Linked DNA regions of Canis lupus familiaris. The main gene of each other region encodes a partner of the protein of the gene in region 2 in a complex. Links are inferred from orthologs where the notes say so. Each region holds a gene or a part of one and is shown on either strand. Other genes may lie near its edges.

Evidence for each region. The genes of interacting proteins can lie anywhere in the genome.
Region 1: the proteins of CCT5 (region 2) and DCAF12 are in contact, whole or in part, in a cryo-EM structure (PDB 8AJM), measured with the Homo sapiens proteins. The link is inferred for Canis lupus familiaris from reciprocal best matches to the Homo sapiens genes CCT5 and DCAF12. Residues at the interface, in NP_036205.1 of Homo sapiens: Gly537, Glu538, Ser539, Glu540, Glu541; in NP_056212.1 of Homo sapiens: Lys91, Phe93, Lys108, His144, Trp186, Phe188, Arg203, Lys254, Arg256, Glu298, Val300, Arg344, Phe411, Tyr422, Leu440, Pro441, Ser442, Gly443.

What each region holds. Positions count from the first base shown.
Region 1 is NC_049232.1:51,087,539-51,091,158, forward strand, and holds part of DCAF12 (DDB1- and CUL4-associated factor 12), read right to left. Parts: intron 2,185-3,620; coding exon 1,991-2,184; intron 752-1,990; coding exon 686-751; intron 1-685. UniProt on the Homo sapiens protein: Substrate-recognition component of a DCX (DDB1-CUL4-X-box) E3 ubiquitin-protein ligase complex of the DesCEND (destruction via C-end degrons) pathway, which recognizes a C-degron located at the extreme C terminus of target proteins, leading to their ubiquitination and degradation.
Region 2 is NC_049255.1:4,210,461-4,214,691, forward strand, and holds the start of CCT5 (T-complex protein 1 subunit epsilon), read right to left. Parts: upstream 2,875-4,231; 5' UTR 2,871-2,874; coding exon of another isoform or gene 2,855-2,870; 5' UTR 2,730-2,854; exon of another isoform or gene 2,682-2,729; intron 2,637-2,681; 5' UTR 2,390-2,636; coding exon 2,285-2,389; intron 19-2,284; coding exon 1-18. Other genes in the region: ATPSCKMT (ATP synthase subunit C lysine N-methyltransferase), read left to right, coding at 2,855-2,870. UniProt on the Homo sapiens protein: Component of the chaperonin-containing T-complex (TRiC), a molecular chaperone complex that assists the folding of actin, tubulin and other proteins upon ATP hydrolysis.

The DNA.
Region 1 (3,620 bases), on a different chromosome or scaffold from region 2:
TTATCTATCTAATCTATCTAATTAATTAATTAATTGATTTGACAGAGAGCAAGAATAAGCAGAGGGAGTGGCAAACAGAGGGAGAGGAGAAGCAGGCTCCCCAAGAGTAGGGAGCCCAATGAGGGACTCAATCCCAGGACTCTGAGATCATGACTTGAGCCAAAGGCAAACGCTTAACCGACTGAGCCACCCAGGCATCTCCATAAGCAGGTACTTAAAAGCCTTGACTAGAGGACTGCTAGTTAAAGGAGTCTCTCAGTAAGTCTTTTGCAATGTGAAAAAATGTCCCCCTCTGATCTCTTGAAAAGTCTTGAGAGGCAAGTCAGACTCAGGGTTCCATGCACTGTGCAGTAACATGCCCAGTAGAAACCAGTGGTTTATTATTTATTTTTATTTATTTTAAAGACTTTATTTATTTACTTATTATTATTTATTCATGAGAGACACAGAGAGGCAGAGACATAGGCAGAGGGAGAAACAGGTTCCCTGAGGGAAGCCTGATACAGGACCTGATCCTAGGACCCTGGATCATGACCTGAGCCGACCACAGATGCTCAACCACTGAGCCCCCCAGGTGCCCTGAAACTGGTGTTTTAGACAAGAACAAAAAGGCTCAGGAAGAATGAAAGTATTTTAACCAAAAGGTGAATTTTTAGGTAAAATCACTGAGTCATGTTCATCACACCTTAGACAGTGTATTTTCAGCCTTCCAGAGATGGAAATAACCATCCAGAGATACTGCTCCCAGTTCCTACAAGAGCAATGAAAAACAGGTTATATTTCAATAGCTAGCAACTAATATATGGTAATAAGCAGGGGAAGACCCTGAAGGTTGGGGTCCTCCCATTCTTCATTCTTAACCCATGATGATTCCAGGAGGGGAGCCAGGGATTGTCAGCCCATCATCTTACTCTAAAATGTAGCTGGACAGCTAATTATTATTAAACCATTATTATTCTTTAAAATTATTTATTTATTTATTTATTTATTTATTTTATTTATTTATTTATTCGTGAGAGAGGGAGGAGGAGGAAGAGAGAGAGAGAGAGAGAGAGGCAGAGACACAGGCAGAGGGAGAAGCAGATTCCCTGCAGGGAACCTGACATGGGACTCGATCTTGGGACCCCACGATCTCGGGACCCCAGGATCATATCCCAGGCCAAAGGCAGGCGCTAAACCGCTGAGCCACCCAGGGATCCCCTTATTAAACCATATTAAATCAAGGTTGCTTCTTGGGAGAACTCAAGCAGGAAGCCAGGTTCTAGCAGTAATGTAAACACCCATGGTTCAAAAAACTCTTACTATGCTATCATTCCCATGACATCCCATTGGATAGTTACAGTAGAGCACACATATGAAGGACAGTTTCATAAATCGCAGTTTGAGAGTTCTATGAGTGGAGGATCTAAATCTATCTCTAAGGAATAATTGTGGCCATGAGATAGGAGACTAAGGCAACTACCCTATAAATCGTGGCCTGATTCAGATTTTGGGACCTTTTCTCTTCTTTGGGGTCTGAGTCTCCATCCCAATATTCTACTTAATACCCCTAGTTTCAGATATGACCCAATGATTAGGTTAAGATCTGCTGGCAGTGTTGAGAAGAGGCAGTGAAGAATAAAAAGAAACAATACCAAAGCGAAAAAGCAATCATTTTTGGAGGGATTTATGAAAATCACACCCAAAATAGAGCACCAGCAAAGGCATGTGCAAATGAGAGATAGTAAAAAACAGGTGGCTCTGAGGTAACTCTGAGAGGCTGACCCACAAATACAGACCCTCCAGAGAAATACTGCACAACTCAACGCAAGGGCTGGGTTTCACAATCTCAGTTATAATTTCTCACCAGCAACCCTCAGCCTTCAATCTTCCATGGGCTCAGAACTAAACTATGTAGCAAGAACTGACTTGGGAAGAGAAGCAAAGTGCCAAGATATAAGCCAAGAAGTTGAAGCAAGAGAAACAGCCTTCCTCTTTGGCGACCTCATACCTTGTTCTTGTTGTTGAAGGCCAAAGCCCGGACCTTGCAGTTGTCAGGGTTTGTGTCCTCCTTGGGAATGTCCTTTAAGGCCTTGTGAGTGATGTGAGCATACACAGGGACCCGTGATACATTGTGCCTTGCATCACTTTTGGTCAACACATCGTCTGTCACCTCCCAGAGTCCCATAGAGCCATCCCGTGAGCCTACAGGGCAAGGAGAGACCACAGATGTCAGACATACCCAACTCTCCATGGGACAGTCCTACAGAAACCAAGATGTACTTTTTTAGTCTAGCTCTTTGTGCACTATCCTCATATGTGCTGAACTTGGTCAGGTGCCCCACTACAAAAAGAACAATATATATTAATAGCTACGTCAAGAGGATGATTCAACTAAAATGTGGGAGTTAAATGTAACATTTAATCTTTGGTGAGATTTTTTTAATTTAAATTTTAAGATTTTATTTATTCATGAGAGACAGAGAGAGAGAGAGAGAGAGAGAGAGAGAGAGAGAGGCAGAGACACAGGCAGAGGGAGAAGCAGGCTCCATGCAGGGAGCACGATGTGGCACTCAATCAAGGAACTCTGGGATCACACCCTAAGCCAAAGGCAGACACTCAACTGCTGAGCCACCCAGGAGTCTCAGTGATATTTTTTTTAAAAGAGAGCATTATATAGTTTGAGAATGCTCAGTAATTTTCCAAGTCAAATGCTTAGATCACTTGGGCATGCATGCACAGGTGATGTTTGCTGGGCAGTAGCATTGGGGAACCTCTACCTTAAATCAGTGGTGCTTAATCTTTTTTGACTCTTACATGCCTCTAAGAGACCTAGGAATGTTAAAGACTCCTTTATCTAGAAAAATACACAAAACACCACATTGTACAATTTCAGGGAGGTTCATGAACCTCTTGAAGGCTTTCCATGGACCCACAGGGACCATAATTCCCATGTTTGGGGCACCTGGCTGGCTCAGTTGGTACAGCATGCCACTCTTGATCTCAGGGTCATGAGTTCAAGCCCCATGTTGGGCTCCAGGCTGGGCACGGAGCCTACTTAAAAATAAACATAACAATTTTTTTAAAATTGAAAAAATCCTTTCTAGTAAAGTTATTTGACAACTCTCCTTTAGACTAAAACTTTCCTTTTTTAAATTTTTTAAAAAAAATTTTATTTATTTATGATAGTCACAGAGAGAGAGAGAGAGAGAGAGAGAGAGAGAGAGAGAGGCAGAGACACAGGCAGAGGGAGAAGCAGGCTCCGTGCACCGGGAGCCCAACGTGGGATTCGATCCTGGGTCTCCAGGATCGTGCCCTGGGCCAAAGGCAGGAGCCAAACTGCTGCGCCACCCAGGGATCCCTCTCCTTTAGACTAAAAGGTACCCTTTCCACATTGCAAATCTCCTGAATGCTTCATAATAAAAATTATCTAACTTGAGAGAAATATCATCTAATTTGTTGGCTTCATAAGGCTTATGGGCAGAGATTCAAAGCAGAGGTTTTATTACATGTGAAATCTAGAAAAGGCCAGAGAGAAGGACACATCTGGAGATAGAACTATGCATGGTTTATTATGCAAATTAAAAAAAATAAAACTATACAAGTTTTATTGTGAAAAATTCAAGCACACTGAAATACTG
Region 2 (4,231 bases):
TGCTGCCATGATATGAGACTAAAAAATGAAACAAACAAAAAAACAAATGTTCAACTTACATGCAATTTTAATAATTAAAAGCATCTGATTGTTATAAAATTTAATCATATACTTTGCCTTCTCTAGAAGCTTCTACATCTAAGAGGCAACACACTAAAGAAGTGCGGTAACCTTCACAACTACATCTTTACTAGACCATTCTTACGTAAAAGAACCAGAACCTGGTACTTTAACTCAGCACTTCTAAGAGGCAGGTTCTCTAACCCGCCCCCATTTTACAGCTGAGAGCACAGGCAGTCCAAGCGGACAGGCCTTGCGAGACCACTCTGCAATGCTAACTTTATGTGATGAGTCTGATGTGCGTATATAGCAACCTGAACTATCCGGCTAAAGTGCACTGCAGAGACGTACCCCTCTCTGACCCGGCCCAGCCAATACAGGACCTGTATGTGAAAGTCATCCTTGCTTGTCATGTGCGAAGGGTATCAGTACAGTAACAGACTCTTGCAAGCATCCTCTCCTGTTTGCACATAGAATCAGGCTCATCCCTCCACATGTTTCCTTTGCTCCTAGTCTTGCTGTCGCCAACCTGACCTGGACCCACGGCGCCCTACAGAGGTCCAGGGTCTCTGATCTCACTTCCTACTGTTTAGATTCACTTGACATCCAGCTACCTCATCCATCTTCCTCAAACGTGTTACCTGCCAGTCGGCAAAGCTTCAGGGACTCCCTAGTGCCTCAACACTGAAGTCTGAAGGCTTAGGCGTCTTCTTCAATGCCCTCCACAATCTGAGAGCTAGTTCCTTCCCACTGCTGATGGGCCATGCTTGTTCCCCAAGTATGGTCTCCCATCCCTGTAGTAAGGGCCACAGGAGGCTCTCCACTCATCAAAACCCTGACCAACTGTCAAAGCAGTTCAAACACACAGGTTCTGTGAAGCCCTCCTCAGCACTCCATCTGGCAGGTAAGGAAAGACACAAACTTCCCGGATCCGTGAAAATGGTGGTAACCATTAAATCACACATTGATGGATCTGTCTGCATAATGGACTTTTAAAAGGATAATCACCACAGATCAGCAGTTCTTAACCATGGACGATTTTGTCCCTCAGGAGGTAGCCGGCAACGTGGACAGCTGTCTTTGGTTCTAACAAATGGGGCCGGGGCTGCTCTTGGCACGGATGGAGTGGGTAGAGGCCCGGATGCCGCGCACCGACCCGCACAATGACTGGGCCCCCAAATAGTAACAATGCCAATGCTGAGAACTCTGGCTCTAGACCACTGCTCCCGAGTCCGCCAGAGGCGGGCTGGAATCACGGCCCCAGTCTCCATGAACTATGAACCCTGAAGCAGATTCTTAACCTCAGGGCCAGGTTTCCAACTCCGTAAGAGAATACCCATCTCAGCACGAGGGTGACAGAGGAGCAGAGCACACGGTGGCAGGGAAGGGCACAGCTGGCGCAGAGGCCGCCGTACACACCACGATGCCACGCGGTCCTCCCGCTGACTGCCCTAGAGAAGCGCACCGGCCCCGCGGACAAAGGAGCTTCAGAGACGCGGGGCGGCGGGTCCTAAGGCCAACAGCGAGGGGGCTGCACGGGGTCTTCGCTCGTTTAAGACACCAGCCGAGAGAGGGCCCGTCCTCACACCTCCCCCTGCCTCTTCTGTTCAGATGCCCTCCTCACCGGGACTGCGCCCCCCAGACCCGCCTGCTCGCACAGCTGTGCCCTACACGTCCTCCCGGGGCCAACACGCCGACCGCCGCGTTCCACAACTTCCAGCTGCGGGCAGCGGCGGGCCTTGAAGCAGGCTGCGCGCTCCCTCCCCGACGACGCGCCTGCCTCTGCCGCCCCCGCCCCCGCCCCCGCAGGCTGCCCGCGGCACACTCGAGGCAGGGACCCCCCCCGCACCGCTGGCCCCACCCGACGGGGCTGCAGCCGCACGCCGCCTGCCGGACCCCGCGTCACGGTCCTGCGTGGCCGCCTTCCCTCTGGCGGGGTCGGCCGACGAGCAGGGGCTGCAGAAGCGCTCGGGGGCGGGCGCGCCGCCCAAACACCCAAGTGCGCCCCCAACGCAGGAGGGCGCGCGCGGCTCCTCCCGGCCCCCACGCGGGGGCTGCGGGCTCGTACGCCGGCCTCGCCCGAGCTCGGAGAGCGGAGCGCAGGGCCCCGGGGCGCAGCGGGGCCCGACCCTCCCGGGAGCACATGGCGGAGCCGCTCCCAGCCGCGCGCAGGCGCAGACCCCGGCCGCCTCCCTCGAGCCTCCGCCCGCGGCCGGCCCGTTACCTTGAGGGCCTCGAGCCCCATAAGACGAGACTTGCGATCCTGATCCTTGATGATGAGAAAAGGACGCCCATATTCATCGAAGGCGAGGGTCCCGACCGACGCCATGGTGCCGCCGCGGCGCTTACTTTCCCCAACCGGCGGAGACCGCTCCGGAACCGAGCACACGCCTTCCGCTCGCGGGAGGGCGCAACAGTGCGCGCAGGCGCAGTCCGCGCCGCCTGAGACTTATTTTTCACTCGAGACTAGTTTGACGCTGGACAGTACCTTCTGGAATCAGAGGCCTTAGGAAACTTCTATCATTCGGGAAGCTGTGGGGGGGGGGACTTCGAAGACACGGGCGGGAACCTCAAACCTACAAGTCGAGAGTACATGGAACTCATTGGCCAGAGCTGTTCAGTTGACGGCTTCTAGGTAGTGCGTCCCAACGAGGAACTCGTCTACTTACTGCGTTACTTTCTCCCTCCGTCCCACCCCGGCTCCGAGCAGGTGGTAGAACCCACTTCCGGATTTCCGCCCTTCCCTCCTCCCGCGCACTCCCCCCTCGGGACGCAAGACGCAGGAAATCTCGCGATGGCGAGAGGAGGCGGTGAGGCGGCGGGCGCGGCGGGCGGCTGGGGCGGCTGGGGCGGCTGGGGCGGCTGGGGCGGCGGGCGCCCCGTCGGGTGGCGCTCGGCGGTGCAGGTCGGGCCTCCCGGGAGGGAGCGGGAGCCGCGGTCCGCTCCCCTGAAAGTCGGAGCCTGCAGCGGCTCACACCGGGGGGACCGGCGCGGCCTGGCCGGGGCTCCGCGGGCGGGACTCCGCCGCCGGTGCGTCGTTCCGTGCCCGCAGAAGTGGCGGGAGTATCCCCCCTGCGGAGCCCCCGGTGCAGGGAGGCCGGTGCCGGCCCCGAGCAGGTTCGGCTGAGGCGTCCGTTAAAGCTGGCCCGGCTTCCCGCGGACAGCCCGGCCCCTCGGGCGACGTGGTGGCGCCGGGAGGCGCGCGGATGCCGACTCCGGAGGACCCTGTCCTCCAAACCCCTTTCGCCTCCTCTCTTTTTTTTTCTTTTCTTTTCTTTAATACCTGTAGGCTTTTGTTGGAGTTCGATTTGCCGGCACGGACTGTAACGCCCAGTGCGCGTCCCGACACTGCCCCCTCGTGCCCGTCACCCGGTCGTTCGCCGCGTTTCTTTCCAGGACGCTGATGGTGACCTGATAGTTGACAGGCTTGGCTTCGGCCATAAAAAGGGATGCAGTACAGTTGGCCCTTGAACAACCTGGGGGCTGCGGGTGCCGGCGCGGGCAGACCTGTGCGGCGGAAAATGCATGTATGGCTTGGCTCCCCCACAACTTTACCAAGACCTGCTGTTGCTGGGAAGCCAGTTGGCATATTTTGTGTGTTATCCGTGTTACATACTGTATGCTTACGATAGCCCGAAAATACCTTAACATCATTAGGGAAAATATGTTTATGGTGCTGTATCAAAATAATCACGTTCCAGTGGACCTGTGCAGCTCAAACCGGTGTTGCTCAAGGGGCTCCTGTGCTGCCCCGTGGATCTTGAAAGCATGATGCCAAGTGAGAGAAGCCGGTCACAGGAGCGCATAGTGTAGGACTCCGCCGCCCGCCCCGAAAGTCAGAAGGGGAGCTCTGCAGAGCCGGAAGGTAGAGGAGCGCGAAGGGGAGGGGAGACACCTAGAGGTTAAGGGCTTTCTTCTCCGGTAAAGACCTCGTTCTAAAATCGACTGTGAATGGATAAAGAAGCTGTGGTCTATGTATACAATGGAATATTACTCAGCCATTAGAAACGACAAATACCCACCATTTGCTTCGACGTGGATGAACTGGAGGGTATTATGCTGAGTGAAGTAAGTCAGGCGGAGAAGGACAAACAGTGTATGTTGTCATTCATTTGGGGAATATAAATAATAGTGAAAGGGAATACAAGGGAAGGGAGAAGAAATGTGTGAG